4 linked regions of the Arabidopsis thaliana genome follow. The protein of the gene in region 1 interacts with the protein of each later gene in a pairwise test. Each region holds a gene or a part of one and is shown in the gene's direction. Other genes may lie near its edges. The genes, in order: AT5G19130, AT5G42420, AT4G12000 and NRAMP3.

Region 1 (5,697 bases):
TTTGATAATGAATAAATTGATTTTATGTTTTTTTTTATAATAGATGTAAATTTTAACATGCACACTTTGAGAAAATTGTTTTTAAAACTTTGTTAAACAAAATAACTGATTTATGTTTTATCCGACCCATGTAAAATCGTTTTTATCGGTCGAATCAAACAGAACAAAAAAAATTCCTTTTTCGCGGTTACTGTAGATTAAACTGCATATATTAAATACCATAACTTAACTGCTTTAGCTATTGAACCACGTCTATGGATGATTTTAGATTTTGATTATCATGTATATATTATGTTTTTGACTTTTCTATAGAATTTAAACTATATTAAAATCATATACACAAAAAAATAAAACGCAATATTGATCAATAATATAACGTAAATTGAATAGCAAAACAGTGAATGGCATATTTGTATTGATATTATAAACGTCATTATCATTTTATTAAATTGTAAAATAAAATACAGCCACTAGTTTGTATTATTTACTTATTTATTCAAAATACAATCGTAGAAAACAGAAAGAAAGACCGAGCAAAGCCAACCATGGGCCTGGGAGTGGGAACTACAAAAGCTGAAAACGACTTTGATATTGTTTTGCTTATTATCTTTTACAAATATTATTTCAAAGAAAATTATCTCATTTGAACATGACATATAGAAGATTTTTTTGTTGCCACATACCATTATCCAAACATAATGAATGGTATTAACTATTTATATATACATTTTTGCAGCCACTTTATGAAATAAATTTTAAAGTTGGGATTTATTTACAGCGGCTGTCACTGGCATTTAATAATTGTTTTTGATAATTAGAAAGAAAATCTTCTAATTAAATATTTGACATTTAACAATCTTCCCAAAATCTCTCTACCTTAACTACACGATTAATTACTAAAATAAAACTTCTAAAATATTTAATATCATTTAATTACTACAAAATTATCATTTTTGATATTTTTTCTCCATGATTATAATCATCAAACCGTATAGATATTTGATAGCATTTAATTACTATAAAATTACAAAATATTTAGACAATAATTCATAAACATATCATAAATAAGATCAACATTAATAAAATAAATGAGTTTTTTTTAGAGGACGGGTTGGCGAGACGGGTTTGGCAGGACGTTACTTAATAAAAATTGTAAACTATACAATAAAAACATTTTATAAATAGATACAATTTACAAACTTTTATATATATATTAATTTAAAAAAATAAATTGTTTTCACGGTATACCGCGGGTAAAAATCTAGTTACGTTATATATCTATATTTCATATATTTCTCTAAGAAAGAATCCTCTAGAAAATGTTTGTTGAAAAATGATTTCTTCATATCAAAACTATGATATTCTCGCGTTTTAAAAGCAATATGATGTATATGTGGTCGATCTAGAGGCTTCAGTATCATTCAAATGAACAAATTTGTTATTGGACCATCTCAATCACCTAAGCTTCGATCATCTCTAATCTCTATGCATCCCCACAAACACTTCCTATGCAGCTGTATATATCTTTTTTTTTCTTTTTTCTTGATATTCTTTTTTGGTTTCGGATCATATCATGACTTTTCATTATTTCTTTTGGCAGTTTCTCTTCTTTTTTGCTTTTCTTTGATGCGATAATATGGACTGCACTGTATAGCCCACTATTTCATGTTCCCATCTTGCTATGATGTAATAGCAAAAATACCATATACTGGTCATTTATAATAATAAATATTTAAAAAAATCTATAACAGTCAATGGATAATAACATAATTGTAAAAGTGTTTCTTCATTTTAAAATAAGATACAAATTAAGAACACTGATATTATCCATTTTATTTTTAAAATTAAGAACAAATATAAATATACTTTTGTAATCAAAATAACAATTATATTTGGTATGTAAGAAAATTCTGCACCATCTTAATCTGACTTTAAGCCCATCACCCAAATAAAAGTCCATTACAAAGCCTTCTAAATTTAAGCCCACCCACCCTATTCGGGCTGACCCGACTTGACCGTCGTCTACAATTCCCAAGCCACGGAGATCACAGTTCGTCGTAGGTTCGAATCTGCCGAAATTGATCGAAGATCTGTGAATCATGGCAGCGGTGAACCGGGATAATGAAGAGGAAGTGAAGACCGATGATGGATCTCCTAAAATCAAACCGAGACCAATCGTTCGGCTCGGAATCTTCCTCATCGCTCACAGTCCTGTTTTCAGGTAAATCTTCAACCATAATTTTCTCTTCTACTCCACTAGTTTCTATGTTTTGATTCTTTCTCTTTTGGTTCATTGATGATCTGATTGTGTTTGTAGTGTGGTTTTCTCTGCTGCTGGGGTTTTGGCGCTGCTGCTTTTGCCTCTACTGGCAAAGAACACTTACATCTCCGAGAATGCTCTAATGCCAGGTTTTGTTACATACCTTAGAATTCAATTAAAGTCCACATTTGGATACTGTACATGTTAACCTGGAATTAGTGTTCTATACGATTGGAATCTGTAGAAGGGTTTAAAACTGTTGAGTCATGTGAGTTTATGGCTTGCCAACTTTGAATGCGTTGTTGTTTGGTGTTTTACACTTTCTATTTTGACTCTAATCCTCAGGCTCTGCACGGTCTATGCTCTCTAATCGAGATGTTTCTGATGGAAGCAAACTGGTGAAGGACATAAAGAACTTTAGGTTGAATCATGAAGGCCAGGGTGTGTATGTCTTTTCTTCCCTCAGTTTTCGCATGAAATAGAGCTTTCTCCTACGTTATGAAGAATTTTACTTGTCCTTCTGTTTTGGTCCTAGCCCAAGTAACTTAATGTTTCTCCATTTGTGTGATTTTTCTTTCTAGTGAAGTCCAAAAGCTCATTGGAAAATACATGTCAGATATGGGTGCAGAAGTTTCTTATCAAAAGTTCCATCCTGAAGGGAATCAATTTCACCCCCTGCACTTTTTCTCCGGTCCAGATTCATATACATTGCTGGAGAATGTCAGTTGTGCTTCTTATGGGGTCAATGTTGCGGGGATTATAAGAGCCCCTCGTGGTGATGGAAAAGAGTCTATTGTGCTGGTTACTCCCTATGATTTTATAAATGGTGGAGACTATGAGGATTTGTCTTTAGGAATTGTCAGTTCTCTTTTTTCCTTGCTCTCTAGAGTTACCTGGCTTTCCAAAGACATAATATGGCTTGTCGCTGATTCTCGTTATGGAGACTATAGGCCTGTTGCTGCGTGGTTAACTGAATACCACTCACCTTCATTTAAGGTCTCGGATCTTCTGAAGTGTGACGAGCAAAATACAGCTGATAACTTCAGACGAGCTGGAACAATGGCTGCTGCTTTGGTTTTGAAGGTTGATGGTAGAAGTGAAAAGTTTGAGGACACACTAAGTATCTATGCAGAGGCATCTAATGGGCAGATGCCAAATCTCGACCTCATCAATGTTGTAAATTACTTAGCGGTGCACAGGCAGGGGTTTTATGTCAAGGTTGAGAAGGTTGTATCTTTACTTTCCTCTAGTTGGCTAAAGATTTTTGGGGAAATATTTGAAGCTGTTGGGAAATTGGCGCATATGTTAAATCCGGACTGGAATTTTGGTATCCCAGCTGCAGACTATCTTGAAGGCAGTGCTACCCTTGCAAGTTCACTGTACTCCCAGGTAAAATGTACAACTGATCTGTCCTTAATTAAGTTCTTGGCATCTTGTGGTTGCAGTCACACTGATACATTTTAACTAGGAAAGACCTTGAAAGCTGACAGAAAATGTTTCTTTCTTTTGTTATTCATTCTCATCAGGCCCTTGGTATCCCAACTGGTCCCCATGGAGCTTTCCGCGATTATCAAGTTGATGCTATAACTTTGAAAGTTTCACCTAGATTTCCTCCTGACAGTAAGACAAGACAACACGATTTCTTTCTACGAGGTGCCCGGTGAGTTTTTGTTTTTATATTTTCATTCGTTCCCATTTTATACCGTTTACCTACCTCTGCTAGTGTATGTGCATTTTGTAATGCTAAAGTACTACAATATATCATTTATGCTACAGTGGAATTTAAGAGTTTTAATGTTTTCTACTCATTGACTCTGTATGAGTGTTCGATGATAACTCTGTGCTTTCTCTTTAAACGCAGGTTACTGGAAGGAACTATAAGATCAGTGAACAACCTCCTTGAGAAGTTCCATCAATCGTTTTTCCTTTACATGTTAACTTCGCCAAGCAAATTTATCTCTGTAGGAGTCTACATGATTGCCTTTGCTCTTCTTGTTGCCCCTCTTCCAATGGTCGCAGCCTCTTTATACATCGATGGCTGTAAATCTCTTACCAATTCCACTCATAACCCAACCGAAAACTTCAAGTCTTGGAAATGGCTAGATGCAGCGAAACAGGTCTTTACTTTGCACTTGTTGGGTTTCATTGTCACGCTGCTACCTTATTTCATCTGTCAAGTACCGGGCCAACATTCTCCAACAAACCGCTCCATCATGTGGGGCACTACCTCTTCGTCGCTTCTCCTTATAACCTTTGTCACAATGCCTGGTTGCTCTCCGTTCTCCTCTCGACTCCATGGAACCAACTGGGCCATCTTGAAATCAGTGACCATCTCAGCTGCCTTCATCGGCCTATGCCTCATGTCCATAATCAATTTTGCCACCGCAGAGATTGGAGCGTTGCTACTAGTGCCAACGTGTCTTATGGCTCAGCCTATAAAACCCGCTTTGAGATCCAGACGCCTTAAGAGCCTGTTGGGTGCGTTTTGCAGTATTGTATTGCTGACAATCGGGTTCCCGGTCATGTTTTTTGCAATCTCTAAAGGGTTGCTTGGAGAAGGCCTCGTAGGGTTGAGTCTTGGAGGAGAGTTTTGGACATGGTTAGAGTCGCTTTGGGCGTGGAAGAGTGCAACATATCTATACATAGGTATGGTTCATCTTCCTTGCTGGCTCCTTTGCCTCTGCATCTTGTTTCATCCTTCTTAATTCTTATTTTACGTCCCAATCTCCATACAAGGAAGGTCACAGTTATTTCCTTTACTTCGGTGACAGTTGTCCACACTTGTTGGAATTTGTCATATGTTCTAGTTGTCGCATGGTAATTAGCAGTTAGAGGTCTGATGTATCGTTAGAAAACTAAAAATGCGATGAATGAGTGAAGTTTCTGTTTTTTGTATTGATTTTTAGTTTTAAGCACTGTATTTTTACTTCATTTAAGTAATAGCTGTTTCTTAAATTAGATCTATTAGTTGTACAAATGCATGATTGCTTGTAGCAGGTATTGTAAGAAAAGAGTACACTCAAAAGAGATCAAAATTGAGGATATCTACCAGATAATTAGAAGGTTACAATTACAAAGGTTTCTGTATTACAACGAAGTTGAATCAGAGCGTGTTCTTTGTCCAAAGCCCATCATTGAGTTACCCAAATCAAAGTCCAATATAAAGCCTTCTAATTGTAGCCCACCCATTACAATCGGGTTGACTCGACTTGACCCGCCGTCAACAATCCCCGAGCATCGGACTCCACCACCAACATCCACCATCAGATTCTTCCCATGAATCCTCCACCGCACCATCTCACTCTGCAACGCTAGATCTACCGCCGGAAAATCTACGTCACTAGTGAAGCAGAGCCCAAACGGTGCGACAGGAGGCACCGATGTAGCTTCACCCGCAGCTTTGGCGTAAGCTTCCGCGAACACCTTGTAGATCGAGC
Region 2 (3,977 bases), about 11 Mb from region 1:
TATGTTCACCAAAAAACTTACAAAACTAACTCTCGAGAAAATCTAAATTTTCTTTTGAAGTGTGGTTTATATATGTATATATATTTTTATATTTTTTTGGAAAAGATTAATAATATTTAATCAGTATAGAAGTTCTGCTTAGACTCATTAATATTTAATATGTTAACTCATTATAAGTTTACAACTCAACTCATTGAATTGATGAAACCATTTGATCTAATAACTCATTTGGTTGTAAGCTTCTATAGTTATTCTTATATAAGTCTGAAAAAATATTATAGTTGTATTTTTGGATATCTAAGGAATTAAGAAAATTGATAATGTCTCACCTCTACGATAATTCCTTTTCATCTTTCCGTTTTGTTTTTGTATTATCGATTTATGTTCTTTAATTATTATTATTTTAAAAAAACTTCTCCAGTCATCTTTTTATTTATCAGTTACATTATCGTAAATATTCATGCTTCTTACATGAAAAAACGAAATATTTTAATGTGATCTCCACTAGTTCATGAAGAAAATGCAAAGTTATGACTTACTTTTATGGATTGGCTGCTTAAACAAAAAGTTACCAACAGACTTTGACTTTGACTTTGCGTAATGCAAAAATAACGGCAGCATGAAAAGAGGTTCCCTTCGCCTCATAATCTGCCTAAGTTACTGGTCAACAAGCACTACTATATATTTGTGTCATTTTCTTTTATTTGTGTTGTTTTTTATATATAGTAAATTATAAACATATTAATTATTCCTACTTTCCTTAGAAATGATGCATGGTGAAAAATTTAAAAATATTCATATACAAAAAAGAGAGGGAAAATAATATTATCAGTTCGATAAATATGTATTGGTTTTTATGAAAATAATAGTTTTATTCAAAATATTAGCTAAAAAGTACTCTCACACAGTTGGTTTGTTTCATAGTTATAGAATTTATTATGTGACACAAAAAGTTCAAAGAATATTAAAAATATTTGGAAATTATGCAAATAAACAAATATTTGTAATTATATTATTTACATAACACAATCTTATGATATTTATTTTAGAATATGTTTACATTATTTTATCCATATATATGTGTCAAATACGATATCATTTTTGGACATTTACATTTGTTGTAAATTAAATTGTATAGAGTTAATAAAAAAAATCAACAGATAATTTTGATTAAGGTTTGTGAATAATTTAGTCAATTCAATGCAAAATTCAAGATTTATTTGTCTAATCCACTAATTGAGAGTTTCTTTAGTCATAAATAAATAAATTGAAAATCTTCAAATCACGAAATATTTTTTAAAGATTTAATTTACAGAAAATCTCAAATCTCATTACAAAAAATCGTTAAAATCAAAATTTGCAACAACTAAAAAAATTCGATTATCAATTTTGTCATAATACTCATCTACAACTTTTGTCACTACATAATCAATTATTTTCTTGTCCAAAAAAAAAACATAATCAATGATTTTCTTAATGTAATTGTAATGATGAATTTTGATGCGGGTAAAGTAAAAACTAAATCTACTTACACAACTTCCTTTTTAAAAGTATTTATTTCAGATTTGAGATTTGTCAGATATTTTTCTCAACGTGAAAGAGAGAAAAGAGAATCTCTCAGAAGGTGAGCCTCCAACAAAGCGTGAATCTCTCTTTCTCTCTCTATCTCTCTATCTCCGAGATCGCATCACCGGAAATCTCCTTCTACGGTGGTGGTGGTGACAGTTGACCAGAGATGGCGGCGGAGAATGAGAGAAAATCTCCTTCAGCAGTCTCCGATATGGGAGCTTGGGCAATGAATGTGATAAGCTCCGTTGGAATCATCATGGCGAATAAACAACTTATGTCCTCTTCTGGATTCGCATTTAGTTTCGGTTCGTCTTCTTCCTCCGATCTCTCACTCTTTTTAATCAATTTCGCTTTTGAGATCTGATGATTTTTCCGATCTCTGTTTTCTCAGCTACAACTCTCACCGGTTTCCACTTCGCTTTAACCGCATTGGTCGGTATGGTATCAAACGCTACCGGATTCTCTGCTTCGAAGCATGTACCTATGTGGGAGCTTATTTGGTTCTCCATTGTCGCTAATGTCTCTATTGCTGCTATGAACTTCAGTCTCATGCTCAATTCCGTTGGCTTCTACCAAGTAATTCATCTCGATCTCGATCTTGAGCATATAGAATCAAATTGCTTTGATTTGAGCATATATAGACTTTGATTTTGGTTTAGTGGATTCACATTTTTTTGTGTTGATTAGATCTCGAAGCTGAGCATGATTCCTGTGGTATGTGTAATGGAATGGATTCTACATAGCAAGAGATACTCAAGAGAAGTGAAAATATCTGTTGTGGTTGTTGTTGTTGGTGTTGGTATTTGTACTGTGACTGATGTTAAAGTTAATGCCAAAGGTTTTATCTGTGCTTGTGTTGCGATTTTCTCGTCATCCTTGCAGCAAATTGTAAGTCTTTTTGTTTGGTGATTTGGTTTTGAAGCTTGTGGAATTCAAATCTGATCAATTGGTGTTTTTTCCTTCTGTGTTGCTTAGTTAATAGGTTCTCTACAGAAGAAATATTCAATTGGGTCCTTTGAGTTGTTGAGTAAAACAGCGCCGATTCAAGCTTTTTCGCTTCTTGTTGTCGGTCCTTTAGTTGATTATCTTCTTAGTGGGAAGTTCATTATGAAGTATAATATGTCTTCCGGTTGCTTTGTAAGTATCTCTCTTCATGGCTCTGCTAGTATTGTTATGTTATCATTGGCTAATGTTCTACAATTTGCAGCTATTCATTCTTCTCTCATGTGGTCTAGCTGTGTTCTGCAACATAAGCCAGTACCTTTGCATCGGGCGGTTTTCAGCAGTATCGTTCCAAGTTATTGGTCACATGAAAACCGTCTGTATCCTCACGCTTGGATGGCTCCTATTTGATTCTGCAATGACTTTCAAAAACGTAGCGGGGATGATTGTTGCGATTGTTGGGATGGTAATCTATAGTTGGGCAATGGAATTGGAGAAACAGTCGATTATTGCAGCAAAGGCTTTAAACAGTGTGAAACATAGCTTAACAGAGGAAGAGTTTGAACTTTTGAAGGAAGGTGTAGAAACTACACAATCAAAAGATGTTGAACTTGGCCGCACAAAAGATTAGAGACAGATGGATAGAGAAAGAAACATAGTCTTCAGGTACAATTTGTTCTGTTATAATTTTTGTATGTTTTGTGTTATCTAAACCAAGAGATCGGATCCTCGGAGATTAGTGTCTAGGCTTCGATCTAAAGTTTCCTTGGTTATACAAATGTTTTGTGTTATTTATATCTTTTTACCCAATTCCATGGAAATAACTTCAATGACCACATGTTCTTGTTTTACGTAGCACTCAAAGAGTATATTCCTTTATTTATCTTATAGAATATGACATCAAATGTAGAGTATATTCCATTTGATAAAACATTCATATGGATAGTGAAAACAAGAATACTGGAGAAGACTTAAAAGAACTTCTGATAAAAACATTCATATGCTCCCAAGTAATGTGAAAATTGTAAATGAGAAGGGGAAAAATGTTATTTAATACCTGAACTTTCAAAAAGTGGCCAAATTAACCGTGAATTTTTGAAATGGCCGTTTTATACCTCAACAAAAAGTTGACTTCTAATTTAACCTATAAGTTATCGTTGACCCGGCCAAATCGACTCACCATTAACACTTCTTAACAGCTCTCCTAACAGCGTAACTAACAACTGTTTTTGTCCTTAAACCAACAATAACGGCTGTTAGGCCATGTTTTGTAACGGCTGTTAGGAGCGCTGTTAAGGAGTGTTAACGGTGAGTCTATTTGGCCGGGTCAACGACAAATTATAGGTTAAATTAGAAGTCAACGATAAATTATAGGTTAAATTAGAAGTCAACTTTTTGTTGAGGTATAAAACGACCATTTCAAGAGTTCACGGTTAATTTGGCCATTTTTTGAAAGTTCAGGTATT
Region 3 (5,057 bases), on another chromosome or scaffold:
GAACTTTGGAGCTATAAGCTAATTTCGAAATGTCGATTCCACATATGGAGCTAGAACTACACACATACATAGAAGTTAAGAGAGCACTTACCACGGTTGTCAAATCACTCAGAGTGCATTGTATGGTTGCATAAACCTCACATGTAAATCTCAAACGGCATAATGTCACCTGAAACTTCATACCAAACCAATTTTCAAAGATTAAACATATACTGGAGAAAATGATGTAACATGTCAAAGCACAGTCAATTTCTAAACAAACACTTTAATCTCAGGAGAAAGAAGAAAAACAGATTGCTTGGATCAACCAACCTCGTGGATTCTGAAACTTTGTGAATCTTGTTTCACGTTTTTTTCCATCAAATTTATAATTTTGATAAATTTGGAATCCAAATTTCAGAGTATGGCCGAAGAGAAGATGGCCGGAGAGGTTTCAAGAGATATCCATTAAAATCCAAGAGCGGTGAAAGTGAGAATAGGCGTTTTTGTGACGAGTCGAGAAGAAGAAAATTCGATCTCGGAACAGTAGAAAAGTAGCTCGCGGGAAAGATATCGGAAATGTTGCCGTTTCGGTGGTGGAAGGCATTGCGGCGATGGCGTCGTCAGATTGTGGTGACAAAGACAAATCGAAATTGAGGAAATTGGGAAATTGCGAAAACCGGGTCCACGGAGAATACGGAATGTCGACCACAGTGGATTATTGGTCGGTGAAATTAAACACGTATAATAAAATTAAAATAAAAGCTCAAAAAGTGGGAAACCCGCGACAAGCTAACCTCCTTATTTGTGGCCACGTGTATGGCCACCATCTCACTTCGTTGATGAATGTCTAGTAATGCCTAGTAAGAAACCAACATATATTATTCAATTTAAAAATATATGTATTTAATATTTTACATTAACTATAATATTTAAATAGTAATTCAGATTAATATTAATATTAATAAAATAAATAAATTCTTATCGAGACAAATTTAACGGAACGAATTTTAAAAATAATATTAATAAAAAAATTAAAATATCATTAATATATTGTTTTAATATAGTTTAAGTTTTAAATTTATTATTTTTTGATACTATCAATATTATACATATAAATCAGTCTGATTTACAAAAATTATATAAAATAAAATATATATAGTAATATAATGTTTTTAGTAACAATTAAATTATAAAATATAAATATCTCAGAAAATGATATAATTTAAAAACTTATATATAATAAATAATTTTTAATTTTAATATTTTTATTAAATATTACATGAGATGAGTTAAGAGATTACAAGACGGTTTATATTGTGGAACGGATTATAGTAGATGAGTTTGAATCAATATTTATAAATTTTTAAAATATCAGTAATATGCTGGTTTAATACGAATTAAATCCTCAAGTTTTAATTATTGTTCTTAAATTCGTGGTATATGTTACTTAATAACAATCGTAAACAAAACAAAAAAAATATTATATAAAGATAAATAATTTAAAATTTTATATTTTATATATATATATATATATTAGAAAAAAAAATTATCATGCGGTATATTACGGATTTAAAATCTGGTTTTATAATATACACCTCCCAATCAAAACAAATTTTACAACTACACCAAAATATTTGTCCCTAATTATTTTGAGACCTTAAAATCTTACAATGTAAAATTTGGTAGGGGCCTTAAATTATTATTTTTTTTCTTTCTAACAATATCCACACGCTTTTATGCCGACATGGTCCAGGTGTTTTCAAACTACATATTTTATTATTTTTCGTCAACCGTGAAATAACTATTTTATATTTCCTAGAATTTTTGGTAAACTGAATAAAAAATATAAAAAAATGCAAGTAACGACGGAAGAAATCATAAAGTAATAAGAAAATAATTTAAAAGAATGGGTACATGCGTCAAGCCATGACATTAACAAACAAACCGAAAAAAGAAAAAAACTCATCTTTCTCCAAAATCACACAAATCTTCTTTATTTGTTATTCTCAATCCTTCCTTCATCCCCAGGTTTCTTTCGATTCGTTGAGTCATTCAATTTTTCCATCACTGGGTTTTTCTCTCTGAATCCGATCGGAGAATCCAGTCGATTACTAATCTAGCGCTCTCTTTTTTTCTACTCGATGACTTATCACGAAGAAGACGATACAGTTTCTGAATTTCGAGTTAGAGTTGAAGAAGATGGAGTTGATAAATTAGGTCATTATGTTAAACTTACTGAAGATTTCGAAGTACATCGACAAGAAACAGAACAAGAATCTTCATCATCACCGTCTTCTTCTTCTTCATGTGGACAGAAACGATCTGTTTGGTTTTGGATCAAGCTTGGTCTTTTCTTCACTTTTCTAACTGCTTTGGGTCTCGCTGGTTACAAATGGCTATACCCTTTAATCATGGATAAGGTTTTCAATTTCCTCCAATGATTTCTTGTTGAATTGATCTTCTTCTGAAAGTCTTCTTCTTTATCTATTGGGTTTGATTATAGTTTCAACTACTGAATTAGATCCTTAGTGTATAAAAGAGGTTCCTTTATGATTTTGGTTCATGTGAATTGAAACTATGTATCCCTACGATTAGCTCAGTATCCAATAACCAAAGTGAGGTTTCGTTGTTGATGTTCTGTGTCTAAAATCGGTAGATTTTCGATGCTGGTGACAAATTCAGTCAGTGACATATTTGGCTCTGTTGCTGATTATGGGATTATCCATTTAACTTTTGTTTGCAGGAGCTAATCCCACTCATAAAATGGGAGATGGAGACATTTACACACCCTGTGTGCGGTATTCTTGTGTTTGCATCAGTCTCTTTATTCCCTGTGATACTTATTCCAACTACGCCGTCAATGTGGGTGGCTGGGATTACATTTGGTTATTTCTATGGCCTTCTCCTTACTCTTCCAGCTGTAGCTATTGGTGTTTCACTTCCTTACTTCATCAGCTATCTCTTCCTCAACAAAATTCAAGTATGTGTCTCGCTTAAGAACCAGTTATATTCTTAGTAACGACTACTTTGTATGTTGCTGAAATTGATGAATGTTGCAGGGTTGGTTAGAAAGATATCCAGATCAAGCTGCAATGTTGAGAGCTGCTGGTGGAGGCAGTTGGTTTCATCAGTTTCGTGCAGTTACCTTAATCCGGATTTCTCCATTTCCTTTTGCTGTATATAATTACTGCGCTGTTGCAACTCGTGTGAAGTTCGGTCCTTACATGGCTGGTTCTCTCGTAGGCATGGCGCCGGAGATTTTTGTCGCAATTTATACGTAAGTGTGGAAATGACTTACAATTTTCTTGGTAATGAATGAATGATTGATTTAGCATCCTGATAGTATTTTTGTTTGTTTTGGTGTTTGCAGAGGGATTCTTATAAGGACATTGGCAGATGCATCCACTGCGGAACAAAAGGGTCTCTCGATTCTTCAAATTGTTCTCAACATTTTTGGTTTTGTAGCAACTGTTGTGACAACTGTTCTCATCACTAAGTATGCGAAAAGACAGCTTGAAGTTATGAAGAAGGAGAAGGAAGCTTTGTTGTTACAGTAATGGAGACAACAACCTCAGAAGTTATGTCTCTGCTTATTCCCAAAGTACAGGTTTTCGTCCATGATGTGAAAGAACTCTTGATTTTTGGTCTCTGTTTTGGTTTGTTTATAGCCGAGAAATGAAAGGGTATAAAAGAAATTATAATGACTATATAAACACTAACTAAACTCTCTAACACGATTTAATCTTATTTGCGTTTTCTCAATCTTTTGTTTTTTGATGTTTGAAAAGAATGGATCAATTGAAAACTTAAGATCATTACTCCTCCTTCGTTTTCTCGTTTATATTCTCTAGTAAGTATGAACTAACTATGAAGATTGGAAATTGTCTAATTGGTAAATAGTGCAAGTGTTGTGTCAGATATTCGTAGGTGACTAGTGAAAACTTGCACTTCGAATATTATGGGCTGCATTGAGAAAAAGCCCAATATAGCTTAGATGGCCATTTAATTGTTTCTATCAAAATCAAATGCGTCTCTTTTTCGAACTATAATGGTCAAGAGTTATTTGTAGCCTACGAGTACGACATTGCTATGCGTTCGACATATTAAATGGTGGAATTGAAGAAGAAACCTTAGCTATGATTCATCACAATATGTATGATCTATATTTTTTCAATTTGAAATAATGGAGTTATTCTAGACCAAATCGAATCTTTTGTTAAATGGATTTCTACTAAAATTAATCAAAGACTGTTTTAATTACCATTTTTTTTTTTTTGCGGTTTGTGAAACCAGTGTGAATCTGCCCAAGTGAAGAGTGCGAGAGATAAGAGGAGAAGAACTATATGGAGAGTTCTTGGGGATTTGAAGCTGCGGTTTTTCTAGTATCGGATTTGGACATCTATATTCTGCTTGAAAATTCACACTAGAAAATGAAGTGCTTCTGCGAGTCATTTGTCTCTTGCATAAGATACAAAGTGGAATTGAAATAACTTTATGTGAAATATATATAATTCTAAAATATGAAGCTAAATATAAACCAATTTTCTACATAAGCTTTTTCAAATTTTAAAGATATACTTACAAGAATCGATCAATAATTGATTCAGTTTTTTTATTTTTTTTTATTTTTATACTGGTGCATTTGAAGCTCTCCTAAGTCCTATAACACAACAAATATGTTCAACTACTCTCATCCCGAAATAAATGTTGTCTTAATTCCCTTCAAAAATGCTTTTGGTCCAAAACCCAATATCCTTTGAAACACTTTTGTCTAAAAGTATATGTAAAGCCATTTACATTTTGTCCTACCTATGAACCACAAAATTAAATATTTGTCTTATTCTCTAAATATTTCTTTTAGATTAAAGTATGTGTATTCAATCAGCAGTAAAAAAGTTACATGTCAAGACTTAATGTAGTTTGCATTTTCTGAATATTCTGGTTTGAATTAAACTATATATGCTTCTGACTCGGTACCACTTTCAACAGTCTATCTATGTGTCTTTTTCATGCGAATAAAATCCATTGCTCATTAATGGTAATTTGTCATCTGGTGAAACACATGCTTTTCTATA
Region 4 (4,803 bases), on another chromosome or scaffold:
TGGTTGCCACTGGATTTTAATATTTGTTTTTGATAATTAGAAAAAAAAATTTCGAATTAAATATTTGATATTTAACAATTTCCCTAAAATCTCTCTACATTAACTACACGATTGGTTACTAAAATAAAACTTTCAAAATATTTAATATCATTTAATTACTACAAAATTATCATTATTGATATTGTTTTTCTGCATGACTATTACAATTCAATTATAATCATCAAACCGTAGAGATATTTGATAGCATTTAATTACTAGATAATTTTAAAAATAAATGATTCATAAACATATGATAAATAAGATCAACATTAATAAAATAAAACGGGACGGGTTGGCGGAACGGGTTTGGCAGGACGTTACTTAATAACAATTCTTAACTAGAAAATAAAAATATTTTATAGATAGTTACATAGATAGTTACAAATTGTAAACTTTTATATATACTAATTTTAAAGTATAAATTGTCTCCGCGGTATACCGCGGGTGAAAATCTAGTATATACATATTTTAATAAGATATCTTTTATTATCATTTAATGAAAACATTAAATATGTACTTGTTTTTTGTTTCTCTTATAATTCAGGTACTTTGAACAATTAAATAGATAATTTAGCACAAAAGGTATACTATATCCATATAACATTATATTTGTAATCTATGTGCCATCCATTTCTAAACTTTGTAACTTTAACATAGTTGTTGACAATAGAAGTTGCACTAAAAGATTGTTTTTTATAATTATGTGTAAAGAATAATTTACAAAAAATTGGTGAAAGGATGGATATCTTTTGCAAATTTACCAAGAAAAAAAAAAGAAGAGAATATCGGAGGTGAGAGACGTGTATCCACGAGCCAACCATGTTTAATATCAGGCTTGGTTCCCACTATTGCATGACATGGCATCATCCCCATGGTTCTTTCGATCTCGCCAGGTCATCAACCTAAGTGGACCATTTATTTCGCATGATACACACCACCTGTTTATTTCTTTATTTGCTTTTTTATTCCCTATACATGCTTTTTGATTTTGATATATACTGTTCGAGGAAACAATACTCCTAAATAGTATAGAAATATTTTAAGAAGACAGAAATATAAATAATTATATTAAAAATCTTAACATTAGTTACAATATATTAATAAATTCAACAAACAGTTTATATATAGTTTATTCATGTTTGAAGCAAAACAAAGTTTAAAAACAAATATTTTCGCATGTTACTTTATCACAAAAAATGATCTAATTATACTAAAAATGATAAATTTATCGAATCTATTTAATATTTTGAAAAGGATTCTATTTACACTATACATATCTATGGACTACGATAGACATTTTTATTTTTAACACACGAGGCCACAAACGAAGGTATACGTGATGCATGAACACTGTGAAGTGTGAAGCTTCCTATATAATCTACATGTTGATGAACGCTCGATAAAATTATAAACCTAATTATTAGTCCAAAGAAATTCTACAAAAATTCTCTATTTAAAAAAAAAAAGATAGTGAAAAAATGTGTCCGTAAGTAAATAAGCGAATTAAATGTAAAATCTGTCCCAGAAAAACAAACAAAACTAAACTAGAAAAGAGAAATTTGAATTTACTTTTCCAAATTCCATTTACACATCAAAATTTTATTTATTTGTTTATGAGTGATTATCCGAATTACCTCCACCAAATAAAACCCTATCTTATTTCCCCCTAAATTATTAGAAAAATATAAAGTGATTAAGATTCTTTTGAAAGTTTGTGTTTATACTTTATCTTGTACTAAGAGAAACAGAACTTCCCTATAAAAAGCAAAAGCAAGTAAGAATAACGTGTTAAACTAAAACCTCGAAAACAACAAAACCCGAAACTGAAACAGAGAATCCAAAAAAAATGCCACAACTCGAGAACAACGAGCCACTTCTAATCAACGAGGAAGAAGAAGAAGAAACAGCGTACGATGAAACAGAGAAGGTACATATCGTAAGAAACGAAGAGGAGGACGATCTAGAACACGGCGTCGGATGCGGCGGCGCACCACCGTTCTCATGGAAGAAGCTATGGTTATTCACCGGACCTGGGTTTTTAATGAGCATTGCGTTTTTAGATCCAGGGAATCTCGAAGGAGATCTTCAAGCCGGTGCGGTTGCTGGGTACTCTTTGTTATGGCTTCTCATGTGGGCAACAGCAATGGGTCTTTTGGTTCAGCTTTTGTCGGCTAGGCTTGGTGTTGCGACAGGTCGTCACTTAGCTGAGCTTTGTCGTGATGAGTATCCTACTTGGGCAAGAATGGTTTTGTGGGTTATGGCTGAATTGGCTTTGATTGGATCTGATATTCAAGAAGTTATTGGTAGTGCTATTGCTATCAAGATTTTGAGTAATGGGATTTTGCCTCTTTGGGCTGGTGTTGTTATTACTGCTCTTGATTGGTAAATTCTCAATTTTTAGACATGTGTCTTCTTGTGTTATTGTTTCATTTGTCTGTGTTTGGTCCCAGTTTTGTCTTTTTGGTTTATGGTTCTAATAGCAGTTTAGCTAATCTAATCTATGGATTGTTTGAATTTGGTGTTAGTTAACCATTAGCTGTGTTAATTTCATCTTTACACATGAATTTTTGTCACTATGTGCTCATTTGGTCATTGATTCATATGTGTGTTTTGCTCAAAGTTTTGGTCTTTTTGTTGGAATCAGGAAACTCTAGTGAGTGTTTATGGTTCTAATTGTAATTTAGCTAATCTATTCTATGGATTGCTCAAATTATTATGTGTTAATTGATTAGCTGTGTTAATGTCTCGTGGAATTTCATCTTTCGGTGTGAGTTTTTGGTGTTATGTATCTCATTGATTCATATGTATGTGTTTTGGTCACAGTTTCGTCTTCTTGTTTCTTGAGAACTACGGAATAAGGAAGCTCGAGGCTGTGTTTGCAGTTCTTATCGCTACAATGGGAGTCTCATTCGCTTGGATGTTTGGTCAAGCTAAGCCAAGTGGCTCTGAGCTTCTCATTGGTTAGGCTTTCTTTCTTCTCTTTATCATTTTCTTAATGGAACAGTCTTTTAACTTTTTAAGTTCTGAAGAAGTTAGATTTCTCTTGTTGCAGGGATTTTGGTACCGAAACTGAGTTCAAGAACGATACAGAAAGCAGTTGGAGTTGTGGGTTGCATTATAATGCCACACAATGTGTTTCTTCACTCAGCTCTTGTTCAATCTAGAGAAGTCGATAAACGACAGAAATACCGAGTCCAAGAAGCGCTAAACTACTACACAATAGAATCCACAATTGCTCTTTTCATCTCCTTTTTGATCAATCTGTTTGTCACAACTGTTTTCGCCAAAGGGTTTTATAATACTGACCTCGCCAATAGCATCGGTTTGGTTAACGCGGGACAGTATCTTCAGGAGAAATATGGAGGCGGTGTGTTCCCGATACTATACATTTGGGCGATCGGGCTATTAGCTGCTGGCCAAAGCAGCACTATTACCGGTACATATGCGGGACAGTTCATAATGGGCGGGTTTCTTAATTTCAAAATGAAGAAATGGTTGAGAGCTTTGATCACACGAAGCTGCGCTATCATTCCAACTATTATCGTTGCGCTAGTGTTTGATTCATCGGAAGCTACACTCGATGTCTTAAACGAGTGGCTTAACGTGCTTCAGTCCATTCAAATCCCCTTTGCACTCATTCCCTTACTTTGTTTGGTCTCCAAGGAACAAATCATGGGTAGCTTCAAGATTGGTCCTTTGTACAAGGTTTGTCAATTTCGTTCAAACTCTTTTACTAACATTCTTTAAAGATCGCTTTATTAAGCTCGATCTCACCTTGTTGTGCAGACAATCGCGTGGCTTGTTGCTGCGCTCGTGATAATGATCAACGGTTATCTTTTGTTGGAGTTCTTCTCCAATGAGGTTAGTGGCATAGTCTATACCGGTTTTGTGACACTGTTCACAGCTTCTTATGGTGCATTCATCCTCTACCTCATTGCTCGTGGCATCACTTTCACTCCTTGGCCGTTCAAAGCGGAGTCTAGTCATTGAGACTGGACCAAACAAGACAGTGTAAGCGTAGTAGCTATGTCTTGTAATCCTTAGGATCATGAGTTCTTAGCTTTCTCTCTTGTATTATATGTGTTGTTGTTATAAAGCAGCTCTGGTTTTGTTGAAGAAGGCTCTTCTATGTATCAGTAGTTAGGTCCCAGAGACGAGAATTAATAAGAATATGTTCACATCTAAACCAATGTTGACACAGATCAAAAGAAACTTTGGGGAACATTCCCAAAAGTGTACATTTAATCGTCCGATCAGAGTTTCACAGTTTCAAGGATTCTCAAATACTTTAAAGTACATATTGTGGATATAGTCAGGGCAAATTCGATACACAAGGTAAAATGATGGAACCAAAATTTCCATAGATAAACACAAAATCTACTTGTTCTAATATGGTATATTATTAAGGGCTTTGTCCCGATCTATTACATTGGCATCTATGTTTTTGTTAATGTATTTTGGGAAGTGCAGTCTTGCTCATCTTGGCATTCATTGCCTCTTTGTCTTCCCTCTTGTTTGGAGTGGTTTGTTTTGGGTACAAACCAACGTCCCACATTTGAAGTTTAGAAAATAGTTTCCCATATATAAGCAAGTTCAACTTCAACTAGTAAGAGACATTTTGGGAAGGAGATCAATAACAAATCCTTGCGGATTTGAGCATGTAGATTCAAAAAGGACAATATTATACTAAAGGGGAGTTGGAATGGGCTTGGAAAGCCTAATAAATGGTGTTGAACGTGGGTTGAAAAAAATGGACCTAGGGCT

The links.
Region 2: the proteins of AT5G19130 (region 1) and AT5G42420 interact in a protein complementation assay, tested with the Arabidopsis thaliana proteins (one large-scale study listed by BioGRID).
Region 3: the proteins of AT5G19130 (region 1) and AT4G12000 interact in a protein complementation assay, tested with the Arabidopsis thaliana proteins (one large-scale study listed by BioGRID).
Region 4: the proteins of AT5G19130 (region 1) and NRAMP3 interact in a protein complementation assay, tested with the Arabidopsis thaliana proteins (one large-scale study listed by BioGRID).

What each region holds. Positions count from the first base shown.
Region 1 is NC_003076.8:6,415,396-6,421,092, reverse strand, and holds AT5G19130 (GPI transamidase component family protein / Gaa1-like family protein), read left to right. Parts: upstream 1-1,980; 5' UTR 1,981-2,099; coding exon 2,100-2,221; intron 2,222-2,317; coding exon 2,318-2,409; intron 2,410-2,605; coding exon 2,606-2,705; intron 2,706-2,841; coding exon 2,842-3,649; intron 3,650-3,786; coding exon 3,787-3,920; intron 3,921-4,121; coding exon 4,122-4,965; 3' UTR 4,966-5,173; downstream 5,174-5,697. Other genes in the region: AT5G19120 (Eukaryotic aspartyl protease family protein), read right to left, coding at 5,348-5,697.
Region 2 is NC_003076.8:16,967,084-16,971,060, forward strand, and holds AT5G42420 (Nucleotide-sugar transporter family protein), read left to right. Parts: upstream 1-1,571; 5' UTR 1,572-1,735; coding exon 1,736-1,874; intron 1,875-1,960; coding exon 1,961-2,145; intron 2,146-2,256; coding exon 2,257-2,457; intron 2,458-2,544; coding exon 2,545-2,706; intron 2,707-2,776; coding exon 2,777-3,142; 3' UTR 3,143-3,444; downstream 3,445-3,977. UniProt on the Arabidopsis thaliana protein: Nucleotide-sugar transporter that transports UDP-rhamnose or UDP-galactose and UMP in a strict counter-exchange mode.
Region 3 is NC_003075.7:7,192,009-7,197,065, reverse strand, and holds AT4G12000 (SNARE associated Golgi protein family), read left to right. Parts: upstream 1-1,849; 5' UTR 1,850-2,123; coding exon 2,124-2,402; intron 2,403-2,725; coding exon 2,726-2,962; intron 2,963-3,041; coding exon 3,042-3,259; intron 3,260-3,352; coding exon 3,353-3,539; 3' UTR 3,540-4,533; downstream 4,534-5,057. Other genes in the region: AT4G12005 (uncharacterized protein), read right to left, coding at 1-175, 313-360.
Region 4 is NC_003071.7:9,855,648-9,860,450, reverse strand, and holds NRAMP3 (natural resistance-associated macrophage protein 3), read left to right. Parts: upstream 1-1,672; 5' UTR 1,673-1,885; coding exon 1,886-2,421; intron 2,422-2,862; coding exon 2,863-2,999; intron 3,000-3,091; coding exon 3,092-3,744; intron 3,745-3,825; coding exon 3,826-4,029; 3' UTR 4,030-4,302; downstream 4,303-4,803. UniProt on the Arabidopsis thaliana protein: Vacuolar metal transporter involved in intracellular metal homeostasis. Can transport iron (Fe), manganese (Mn) and cadmium (Cd). Regulates metal accumulation under Fe starvation.